2 linked regions of the Caenorhabditis elegans genome follow. The protein of the gene in region 1 interacts with the protein of each later gene in a pairwise test. Each region holds a gene or a part of one and is shown in the gene's direction. Other genes may lie near its edges. The genes, in order: gdi-1 and atx-2.

Evidence for each region.
Region 2: the proteins of gdi-1 (region 1) and atx-2 come close enough for resonance energy transfer, tested with the Caenorhabditis elegans proteins (one study listed by BioGRID).

Annotation. Positions count from the first base shown.
Region 1 is NC_003282.8:14,790,342-14,794,698, reverse strand, and holds gdi-1 (Rab GDP dissociation inhibitor), read left to right. Parts: upstream 1-1,848; coding exon 1,849-2,887; intron 2,888-3,163; coding exon 3,164-3,417; intron 3,418-3,474; coding exon 3,475-3,561; downstream 3,562-4,357. Other genes in the region: coq-3 (Ubiquinone biosynthesis O-methyltransferase, mitochondrial), read left to right, coding at 1,079-1,239, 1,292-1,489; melo-1 (RRM domain-containing protein), read right to left, coding at 4,036-4,209, 4,264-4,357.
Region 2 is NC_003281.10:10,459,634-10,467,436, forward strand, and holds atx-2 (Sm domain-containing protein), read left to right. Parts: upstream 1-1,755; coding exon 1,756-2,091; intron 2,092-2,139; coding exon 2,140-2,431; intron 2,432-2,554; coding exon 2,555-2,816; intron 2,817-3,135; coding exon 3,136-3,309; intron 3,310-3,363; coding exon 3,364-3,599; intron 3,600-4,822; coding exon 4,823-5,182; intron 5,183-5,235; coding exon 5,236-5,457; intron 5,458-5,692; coding exon 5,693-6,102; intron 6,103-6,239; coding exon 6,240-6,554; intron 6,555-6,661; coding exon 6,662-6,953; intron 6,954-7,408; coding exon 7,409-7,621; intron 7,622-7,670; coding exon of another isoform or gene 7,671-7,678; coding exon 7,679-7,779; downstream 7,780-7,803. Other genes in the region: ecps-1 (Proteasome component Ecm29 N-terminal domain-containing protein), read right to left, coding at 137-280, 327-451, 506-616, 675-796, 845-917.

The DNA of each region.
Region 1 (4,357 bases):
AATTTCCTTTCTTTTTTGTTGAAAAAAGTGTTGATCCAACCCAATTCAATTCGATTTCCGGTGCCCCCTTGGAATAATTTTGGATACAAAGCTTTCAACTCTTCTGTTCTGTTCTCTATTTCCCTATTTTGCTCGCCGTCTTCTCCTCCTCCACCCGTCCGGCTTCTCCTCTTCTTGGACATTTTATCGATTTTGTTCTTCTTCGGTGTTGTGTCTCTCTCTCTCTCCCCCCCCCCTTTTCGATGTGTGGGCCAACACAACAATCCCCACATTTCTGCGTCTCGTGTTCTCACCCTCATCCGGTTGTGTCTGCGTCTATGGCTTGTAGGTTCTCGAACTTTCAGTTCTAGATGTCCTAGACTTCAATTTTGAAGGTCTCAACTGGATATTATTACAGTTCGGAAGTCTTGAATAATACTAGATCCAACCCAGATGTCCTCAGATGTTATTTGATCTCTCCAGTCTCTCGCCGTCGCTCCCTTCTCTCAGTCCATTTTGGACGCTCATTTCGACCGCCATCCCGTTTGGGGTTAACCGCGGAGAGAGTGAGTGAGAAAGGGAATGAGCGCTCAAATTCACTCTCACTCACACTCACACGCAGCAGCATCATCTCGTAGACCCTCTCTGGTTGTTGCTGTCTCTGATGACAAACATTCCCTAACTGGGCGCCCCTGTGTTCGTCGTTGCCACGTGTCATTCTATGTCGGCGATTCGGCCATTTGAAGCTCGATCCACGTGTCGCTAGGACAGCTGACGTCATCTTTTCAACTATTATGTTTACTGCGATTATACGAATCAATTGGTGAAATTATTTAGAATAACCTATTTTTTGAGTTGTTTACGATTTTGAAGTCACTTGACTGAAAACTTTCACAGAAAAGGTCTTAAATGAAATGAAACTCTTGCGTAGACTTGATGAAGTTCTGTGAAACTCCTACGTACTCTTGAATAGTAATCGAAAATTATTGATTTCTACTTCCAATCTACTCAAAAGTTAAAAAATATTTCGCAACACATCTTTTCCCCATTCTTTTCTGTATTTTTTAGCAATTTACCTTAAAATCTTCAATAATTCCAGCCTACGATGCAGTCGTCGCTTCGGAAATTGTCGAACACGTCGCCGATCTTCCCGGATTCATTGGCTGCCTCGCTGAGCTGGCTCGCCCCGGTGCCCCGCTCTTCATCACAACTATCAACAGAACGTGGCTGAGCAAATTGGCAGCTATTTGGCTTGCAGAGGTTTGATTTTTTTCTTTCTTTTTTTTTTGGAAATAAATTTGAAAATTTTCAGAATGTACTCAAAATCGTGCCGCCCGGAGTCCACGACTGGGAAAAATTCATCACACCCGCCGAGCTCACTTCACATCTCGAAAAAGCGGGTTGCCGGGTGACGGCGGTGCATGGATTAATGTTTCATCCGGTTGGAAATCACTGGACATGGATCGAATCGACTCAGTGTAATTACGGAATTTTGGCAGTGAAGAATTAGATTTGAAGATTTTTTGTTTAGTGTTGCTAGTTTTTTTTTCATGTTTCCATATGTTACTGGTGCTATTTTTTTTAATTTTCAAAAAAAAAAATAATTTGAGACCTAACTCTTTTAAATGTCAAACAATTGGGTTTGATCTACCCGCAAAATATCTGATTTTCAACAACTTTATTCTCTGCGTCTCTCCCTCCCTCCCTCTCACTCTCTTTCTTCAGTTTTTATAATTATTTTCTTGAATTCTAAAATTTCCTTTTTGAAATTCAACTTTTCTTTCAGTTTCTCTTTCCCCGCAATTTTCCAAATCACAATCCGATCAATTTTCAGGAGTTCCAACCAATTCCCCGAAAAACTCGCTCGAAATGGATGAGGAATACGATGCCATCGTTCTCGGAACCGGCCTCAAGGAGTGCATCATCTCGGGAATGCTGTCGGTTTCCGGAAAGAAGGTTCTCCACATTGACCGAAACAACTATTATGGAGGAGAGTCAGCTTCACTGACTCCACTTGAGCAACTCTACGAGAAATTCCACGGTCCACAAGCCAAGCCACAACAGGAGATGGGACGTGGACGTGACTGGAACGTCGACTTGATTCCAAAGTTTTTGATGGCCAACGGGCCATTGGTCAAGCTTCTCATCCATACTGGAGTCACTCGCTACTTGGAATTCAAGTCGATTGAGGCCTCGTTCGTTGTGAAGGGTGGAAAGATCTACAAGGTGCCGGCCGATGAGATGGAGGCTCTTGCCACTTCCCTTATGGGAATGTTCGAGAAACGTCGCTTCAAGAAGTTCCTCGTCTGGGTGCAACAATTCGATGAGAACAAGGAGGACACTTGGCAAGGACTTGACCCACACAACAGCACAATGCAGCAGGTTTACGAGAAGTTTGGCCTTGACGAGAACACCGCCGATTTCACCGGACACGCGCTGGCCCTCTACCGTGACGATGAGCACAAGAATCAACCATACGCTCCAGCTGTTGAGAAGATCCGATTGTACTCTGACTCATTGGCTCGTTATGGAAAGTCACCATACTTGTACCCATTGTACGGATTGGGAGAACTTCCACAGGGATTCGCTCGTCTCTCGGCCATCTACGGAGGAACCTACATGCTCGACAAGCCAGTCGACGAGATTGTGATGGAGAATGGAAAGGCTATTGGAGTCAAGTGTGGAGATGAGATTGTCCGTGGAAAGCAGATCTACTGCGATCCCTCATACGCCAAGGATCGTGTCAAGAAGACTGGACAAGTTGTCCGAGCCATTTGTTTGTTGAACCATCCAATTCCAAATACAAATGATGCTCAATCCTGCCAGATTATCATTCCACAAAAGCAAGTTGGAAGACATTATGGTAAATTTATAGTCTTGGAAAAGCAGCGCGTCGCACAGAAAAGAGGTAGGGCGTAATTTTGCAATCTTGCGGCACGGGTTTTTCCTACTTTTTTTGTTAATGTTTGAATGAAAATATTATCGAATTTAATTATCCGAAGACTAAAATAGTCTCACGATCCTATGAGAATTAGGTAAAATTGAAACTTTATTGAAAAATAAATTAAAAGGAGGAAAAACCGAGCCGCCGGTTTGCCAATTTACTCTCCGCCTCTTTTTCTGTGCGACTCGCTGCTTTTTGCAAAACTCACGCTTTCAGCATCACTAATTCCCTTTTTTTCAGACATCTACATCTCATGCTGCTCCAACACGAACATGGTGACACCAAAGGGATGGTATTTGGCAATGGTCTCCACCACTGTCGAGACAGCCAATCCAGAGGCTGAAGTTCTTCCAGGACTTCAACTTCTTGGCGCAATTGCCGAGAAGTTCATTCAGATTTCCGATGTTTATGAGCCATCTGACTTGGGATCTGAGTCACAGATCTTCATCTCTCAATCTTATGATGCTACGACTCACTTTGAAACCACTTGCAAGGTAATTTAAAGAATTTAAAACAATTTTTGAAAGAAATTATAATTATTCATTTTTCAGGACGTGCTCAACATGTTCGAACGTGGAACGACCAAAGAATTCGACTTCACCAACATCACTCACTTGTCGTTGAATGATCAGGAATAATTGAATATCCATTCCCTTCTTTTGAGTACTCTGATTTGACGCTTCTGATGCTGCTTTTGCTCTTTTTTGTCGCCTCTATAAAAAAAACGATTCCCGTTCCGTTTGTTTCTCCTGTCCAATGTTCATTTTCAACCGATTTTAATTTATTGTATTTTCTCTTTTCCAGTCTCTATCCTCATGTGATTCCCCGAGAACCCTTTTTTTAAATTTCAATTTTCGTCCCGAAAACAAAATTTCTTCCCACTATTTCCTTTGTATTTAACTTTACAATTCCCAAACAAAGTCCGCTTCGTAAATCTATAAATCACTTTATCCTTTTGAAGTACTTCATTACAGAAATACAATTATTATCACGATCAGAAAGTTTGGATAGGATGGGATTACATTTGATGAAGGGAGATCATTTCCATTTGAAAATTGGAGAAGAATAAGCATATATGTTTTTACATAATTGATTAAAGAAAAAATCCCAGTTTAAGCCATCACAAGCAGAGCATCGAGCTGATCATCGACACGTTGCATCATCTTTTTGTACAAATCCTCCATATTCTCGAGCAATGCCATTTTCAGTCCGAATTGTAGAGACTCGTCTTTAGCGAGAAGAGCACGTGTGACGACCGCATATGTTTCACAATCGTTGCGAAAAGCCTGAAAAATAGAAAATTTGACTCAAATTAGTCAATGAGTAACTTGAAAACTTACCGATTCGAGTTGCTTCTTCTTAATATGGAAACGCATCATTTGCTCATCGTTGAGCTTCGCAAGCTTCAACTCCCTCACCATCGCCTTCTCCTCG
Region 2 (7,803 bases), on another chromosome or scaffold:
CTGAAATAAAATATTAGAGTTAAAGCAGGCAAAGTTCGTGAAGATTTCGGCATGAAATATTGTAAAATTAACAAAATGCTAGGCATGTTTCAGATTAAAACCAGGAAATTCGCTTCTGAAAACTGAAATTACGTACATGCTTCGTGCAGAGAACACGAGAATCGCCTGAAAGCATCTGGCAATGATTTCCACGTCGACAGAGCTCATCTCGATCGTCGGCCAGTGTTTTTTCTCGATTCTCGCGAGCTCGTGGAGTCCCGGCAGGCACAACGAGAGAATGCTGGAAAAAATTATATAGAAAATATAAATAGTTCTACTTTACTTACTCGTAAATGTAATTGAGATCATTGGGCTTCTTGCTGAACGATGTCAAGTATACAGGCAGAAACTCTAGCTGCTCGGCGGCCTGGATCCGGTCTTTTGCCATTTTGAGATAGATCAGACTGAAATTCTGGAAAAAATATTAATTTTTTGGGTTATACATCGTCTGGAGAACGCTACAAACCGATGAAATGGCACTCGGGCCTTGGAAAAGTTCGAGCAGACGTGGCACTGGGAGACGGATCGCCAAATTGCTCTTGACGACTTTGTTGAAGTGTGTGAGAAATTCGGTGACCTGGAATCACGAATTTTAGTCATTTTGAATCAAATTTCAGCGAATTTTTGCGTCTTACCAGCTGAATGTGCTCCTGCTTTCTCCCGGCAAACTCCAACACATCGCACAAGTGCCGATCTGTGATAGTTTGTAGCTTGGCGTCCGAGTTGGCGTTGACGAGCCGCAGGAAGACTCTTTCCACTGAAAATTTCAAGTTCATTATGTAAATTAGAAGCTAGACTAGCTTACCATCATTTGCTGAGTCGAGAGACGTCAGCGAAGCTGATTCTCTGGGAGCATCGACTTCCATTGGGCTTTCCATGCTGAAAATACTAAATATTTAGCGTTTTACGAAGAAATTAACGTCGAAAAATGAAGAAATTACACTGAAATTGCTAAAAATTGTTCAAAACAATACGAGAAACTCGGTTTTTCCGCAAAAAGTAAAATGTTCTTGAATTTATTCCAAAATGTCATCAAAAATATTTTTATTTTCAGTCTGCGTCTCTCTTCATCGTGTCAATGGGGCGAACTTGACAAGAGACGTCACAGAACCTTTCTCTACAGAAATTTGAGTCTTGAAAAAAAGACCGAAAAACAGGGGAAATTTTTAAATATTTTTGATGAGCGATAAATTTTAAATTGAGAATTAGTTTTGTTTATTTCAAATTGTATTATCGACAAAGTGTATTGGAAGATAGCGCAGGGAAAGAATTTCTCCGAGTGGGAGTTTCCCCAAAATCTGTGGTGTCAAACAGATAAATATTTCCCAATCGCGAAATTTTGCACGAGAAATGTGGTACCCGGCAAGATAATTTTTTGTCAAATGAAAAAAGTGTGTGCTCCTATGAAGAAATGTCCTATCTTTCTTTTAAGAACAAAATCTGAATTTTGTCAGACCTAATTCAATAAATTGCGGATAAACTTTTTGATTTGGGGAAAATGCTTTTATTCATTGCCCAAAAACTCAACTGTTGAGGCGAAATGTTCATGTTTTACCACTTTCCTTGGAAAAAATCCACTAATTCCCACTATATCGACTTTCCTGAAAACCCCACTGTGTAAAATGCGCGCGGCACACTTGCGAAACCCTGTGCGGCGCACTTGCATAGGGCGGAGTCTCAGGCAATCCCGACGGAAATCGGCGCGTCATTTACCGCATGTGCGTGTCCTCCGCTGTCTGCGTGCTCTCTCGTCTCTCTCTCGAACGTTTTTCAAATTTTTCCGCGAATTTTGTGGATAATTTTCTTCTTGTGGCTCGTTTTGCACGTGGTGAAACCTTGAAAAACGGGATTGTGTTGGAAATTTCAAAAATTTGCCCAAAACTGTTACTCATATTAAACTTCCATTATCGTTGCGAAATTGCTGTTTTTAAAATTCAAATTTTTTCCATTTTCAGGTACATTTCTCCTGTACCCAAACTCTTTGACTGCTCCACAGACAATCTTCTATTTATTTATATTTTATTTGCATCCAAAGTGCGAATGAAAGAAATGGTAAGCGCTGGCAACTTGAAAATTTCTTTAAAAATACAATTTTTCCAGTCAACACCAACGGGTCTTCCTGCGCTAAATGGCGATGTGTTGAGCGCCATCAATGATATGATCGGACGTGTAATTATCATTAATACTACGGACAAAAAGCGATATTCTGGGGTGCTGGGCGCCGTGTCTCAGGATTTCGATTTCGGGATGCAGTGCGTCGTGGAAATTACGAAGGAGAACGAGAATAACTTGCTGAGAACAGAGTCGGAATGCAGAGACAAGATGGTATTTCACTATAGTGATATTGTCGATTTTGCGTACGTTACGCAAGAGATCAAGAAGCAGCATGCTGGTAAGAGCTGTTTCAGGGAACTTTTTCATTAAAAAAAATGCATGACATCTTTAATTTTGGGCCAAGTCGGGTTCACAGTTACGATTTTTAATCCGAAAAAGCTGAAAAACTCTCCATTTTCAGTCAGCAAATTCGTCACCGATAGACAATACCACGGAGATACTCCAATCGAGGGCGAAGAGCTTCAGGAATGGAACGGAGGTGAGGAGGACGGACTCGGAGGATCCATTGAGGACGACGTCGTCGTTGCTGGTGGACAAACCGCCGCTCGTCGCAGCAACAATCACAACAACGGCACCGGATGGTCGGTCAACGACATGTTCGCCGCCAACGAGAAGATGAACGTGGTGTCGACGTTCAAAGAGGATTTAACGCAATACACAACGTAATTTATTTGAATTTTTTCGCTTGAAAAATCCAGGATTTTCGGAGTCTGCAAGCGTTTTTGGGCATCTGAATCTATTTTTTTCAGTTTTGCCTTGAAAAAATCTTGTCACTGAACCATTTTTGCAAAATTTTGCATAAAAATGTCCTGAAAGTTGATAATTGACAATTTTCAGGTTATTTTTAAGCATTTTTTCGAATATTTCTACCGAAATCAGTGTTATTCTCTGATGGATCAAGTGCTTTCCTATATTTTGACCCGATTTTTTAATTTTAATTTTGGAAAACATCGTGCAAAGCAATAAAATCCCAAATTTCAGCGTCGAAGTGGTAGGAACCGACGAAGATCGAGCACGCGCCGAGCGGCTCGCTAGAGAAATTGAGTCCAACTCGTCGTCGAAGTTTATGGCGAACTTGGAGAACGACGACGACGAGCGAGATTTGGACAAAATCACGCGTCAAGAGGATTTCGAGAATGGCAATGGCCGAAAGCGGTTGGAATTCTTTAAAAATTTGAATTTATTAATTTAAAAATTTATTTGTTTCAGCAATAATAACAGCTTCAACCAGCAACAACAACAGCGCCGCAATCCGAATATTGCACCAAACGGGCAGCCAGTGAATCGACGTGCCGAGGGTCTTCGCGGAGATCGTCGTAATAGTGGAAGCTCTTCAGCGAACAATAGTCGCTACGGTGCTCCAGCAGCGGCTCAGCAGAACTATTCACAGAATCAGCAGCAGCAGCAAGGTCAAAAAGGTTATCGCCGCCAGAACGAGGAAAATGGTTCGTGTACATTCCCGAGAGTACAGTGTGTCTCTTTGATCATTATCTCTCTCTCGTTCTCTTTCTCCGCGTCCAACAGTTCTTTTTTCGGTGTATTCCGTTTTCTTGACCCATTTCGCATGACATAATTTCGCTAGCGGCTGCAGCGGTTGTCTTCAGCTGATTAATTGGAGTGTTTTTCCTCGTGGGATGCGGAAAAAAGCGATTTTTTTTTTGCAAATTTTCAGCAAAAAAATCAGATTTTTCCCATCAGAAAACCAATTTTTCATTCTTTCCTCACATTTTGATCACAGAAATACGAAATAATTCTGCAATAGTGTTATTTTCAGTGGAAAAATCGTTTTTTTTTCCGATTTTTGACTGAAAAACGTTTTCTTTGTGTCAGAAAAAACAAGTAAATGCCGATTTTTAAGTGAAAACGCCGAAAAAAAAAATTGAAAAAATGACCGAACGGGTCCCAGTTTATCCATACAAACACACCTGCGTCTCTGATACATGCTTTCATCAAGTCTCTCTCTCTACCTCTGTCTACCTCTCTCTCTCTGTCCGCTTCCTCACCGCTTATCATCTTCATCATCATCATCACAAGTTGGTTGTGTTCTTCTCGAAAAACCGTGTTGTCTATGTTGTGTACCAATCGATCGTTAGGGAGGCGCCACACTTTCTCTCTCTCTCTCATTCCTTTCCGCTCTCTTTTTTCTCGGTGATTTTTTGTTGTTGTGTGTGTGTCTGAATGATGATGAAACATGCGATCGTTCATACCTTTTTTGCCTCCTTTGCAGCTTCACCAGTCCTCAGATCCTTCTAGATAATGGAAATTCCACAGTTTTCGAAGTTTTTAGTGTCTTTTAAAAGAAATCTTGATTTAAATTCCTCTTGAAAATCTGTCAGAATCAGATCAAGAGCATTTTGGTATAGCGTTAAAATACTGTAACCGGTCTCGACACGACATATTTGTGTTTAATGGTATGCACCTTTAAAGAGTACTGTATTTTCAAACTCTTTTTGCTGCGAAATTTCTGTTTTTTCATAGTTTCATATGAATATTCCACAGCAACAAGAGTTTGAAATATTTTTTCAAGGCGCCCACCCTTTTGCATTAAACAAGCTTGTCGTGCCGAGACCGGGTAACGTATTTTTGGTAAAAATTCGATTTTTGATTCCTTAGAAAACAATTTCCGTCGTTTTTGTTTAAACAATGACTCATTCTACTTAATTTTCAGACTGGCAGATGGCCAAGGGGAAGGGCCAGAACCAGGGCCACGACCACTCGTTCCGTCAACAGCAGAAGCAGATGCTGGATCCGAGACCCAACAACAATGTGAAGCCGGCTGACGATAAAGCTCAATCTGCCACCACTGCCACTGCTGCTGCCGGTGGATCCCGTGTGACAGATCTCAAGAACTGGGGCAACGAGTTTTCGATTGCGACGGCTCCAAAGGATCAGGCTCCGGCGGTGCCAGCTGGAAACTCGGGTAGTGCCTGGAATCGCGGACCACCGAGCTCGCTGGTTGCCAAGGGATCATCAAATGAGTCGACTCCACCACCGACAACCAATGGAGAGGAGGCTGAGACTAAAAAAGGTATCTATTTTCTATTTTTCTCAACAAAAATGAACAATTTTGCCAATTTCCAGAAGAAGCTCCATCCACAAGCGTCGATGTGGCAGCTGCACCAGTGCAAAACGTACAGAACGACGCGGAAAAGCATCAGGAAGACGACAATGTTTCCGTTACTTCAGAGAATGATTCAGTGATCACTTCGAAGTCATCGTCGTTCAAATTCAACATCAATGCTCCAGAGTTCAAGCCACGTGTGGCTCCGGCGACTCCAACAGCGACGACTCCAGTGCAAAATGGTAGGAAAACGAACAAAACGGCTTTTTTTCAGTATTTTTGTATCAAAAATTAATACAGAAATGTATGTAGAAAAAAGATAATTTTTGTTGAAAGGTTTGAGAAAGATCTCAAATTGTGTCATTTGAGAGGGAATTTTTAAACCAAAATAAATATTTTTCTAAATACACATAGGTATCAATTTTTGATACAAAAATTTTGGCTGCCAAGACGGAGTTTTAACTCTAAAATTTTCAGAATATCATCCACAACAACAGCCACATCCAGCAATGATGGCTCCACAACAAGGACCACCTGCTCCTGGAATGGGAATGGTTCCACCACACATGGGCGGCCCACAAAATCAAGGTCAACCACCGATGATGATGTGGCAACAGACTGGACAACAGCAACAAGGCGGTGGCGGCTATCCACAGAATCATCAATTCCCAATTCAACATGTCCCAATGCAAGGTGTTCCTGGACAGATGTATGGCCCGGGAGCTGCGACTCCGGTCACTGTTGCTCAGCAGCCAAATCAGCAGCATCAGGTGCCAACCAGTGCGGCTGGTGGTCAGAATCATCAGTTGAGAGATGGAGAGTATCGTGAGAAGCAGCCACTCTACATGCCATATGGACCGCCACAAATGGTTCCAGTCACATCTCAGGTAACCGAAAATTTGGAATATCCCTGTAGAAATAGGGAAAACATTTATTTTTAAAGGCCTTGAATTTTTAGAATTTTAAACTTTTCCTAATCTAAAATTCCTGATTTCTCAATTCCAAAAATTCTAAATTTTTTCAGCAATTCTATCATTCACAGTACCAAGGCCAGATGCAGCAAGCTGCTCCATACCAAATGAAGATGATGCCACAGCAAGCTCCACAGGGTGCCTATCAACAGAGATATCAGCAGCCACAAGTGTACATGATGCCTCCACAGGGTCAGCAGCAGCAGCCGAGATACCAGGGTCCTCCACCACCACAGCAACAGCAACAGCAACAACCGCAGCAACAACAATTCTCCGGAGAGCAAAGTCGCCCACAATCACATCCGAATAGTCAGCCAACGACTCCGGGACCACGTGGCGAGTTGCCAAAGATGAGCGGTGCTCCACAGGTGAGATTTCTTTTTTTTTAAACTTATTCGCATGTTTCCCTCTTTCAAACTTTCTGTGCCTAATAAGATGAAGCTTTTCAATATTGTGACCGTGACTCTATTTTCAGAACGGAAACATGCAGGCCGAGTCGAGCAGCAACGCTAGTCACAGCGGATCGACGAGCTCTCAGTCGGGACAACGAAGCGGATCTCCACCAGGTGCTGTTCCTCCACCACCACCACCACAGCAGCAGCATCAGCAACAACAACATCCACCACATCATGCTCCTCCACACGTCGGAGCACCACCACCACAGATGATGCAGCAGCAGCAGCAACACATTCAACAGTATATGGTGATGCAGGGACCGCATCAAATGCATCCGCAGATCCCTAATTACTATCAGCAGCCTCAGGCATGTTTAATCTCTCTCTTTCTTTCCTTTTTTCAGTGGTATTTTTGATTTTTGGTTTTCTTGTTTTTTTTCCTTTCTTTCAGAAGTTTCAGAACAAAATTGTGATTGACTCTGCTAAATTTTTGTAGATCTGCAAGTTCTACAGCTGAAATCGCCCAGTGAAAAAGGAGAAAAAATTGCCTAATGTTTTTTTTCATACTTTTTTTCTTAAAAATAGCGAGAAAGTTTCGATTCCGACTGTAGAACTTGAATGTGCCCAAATCAACGAAAAATTGGCAAATTTTAGCTGAGATCTCCTATTTCGGCAATTTTTCTGGATAGATTTTTTTTTTGAATTGAATTTTGAGATTTTATTTAAAATTACCATTTTTTGAGAAATATTTGAAAATGTCTCACACTCTATAAAAGAACAAAACCGAGAAAAAAACGTAAATCTAATTTTCAATCATTTTCAGCAAGTATTCTATCCGATGATAATGCCCCAACAGATGCCAATGCAACAGAACCAACATCCTCAACAAAGTCTTATGGGCGAGCGATCTGATCAAGGATTCCCGACGTCGGGATACTTTGACTACCGTACAATGCCAAACTATCAGCAACAACAACAACAGCAACAGCAACAAATGCACCGCCAGAATTCGCTTCCACAGCAGTTCCAAGGCAATCAAGGTAATGTTTTAAATGTTTATAAAGTTCAAATTTCTAACCGTTTATGAAGCTTTGAAGGTGTAAATCCATCTGGTCAACAATCTGGTCCACCACCACCGCCACCACCGTCTCAACAAGGCACACCACGTGATCAGCAGCACTCTCAGAGCCCCCCGTAATCATATCTATATGCGCTCTTCCTG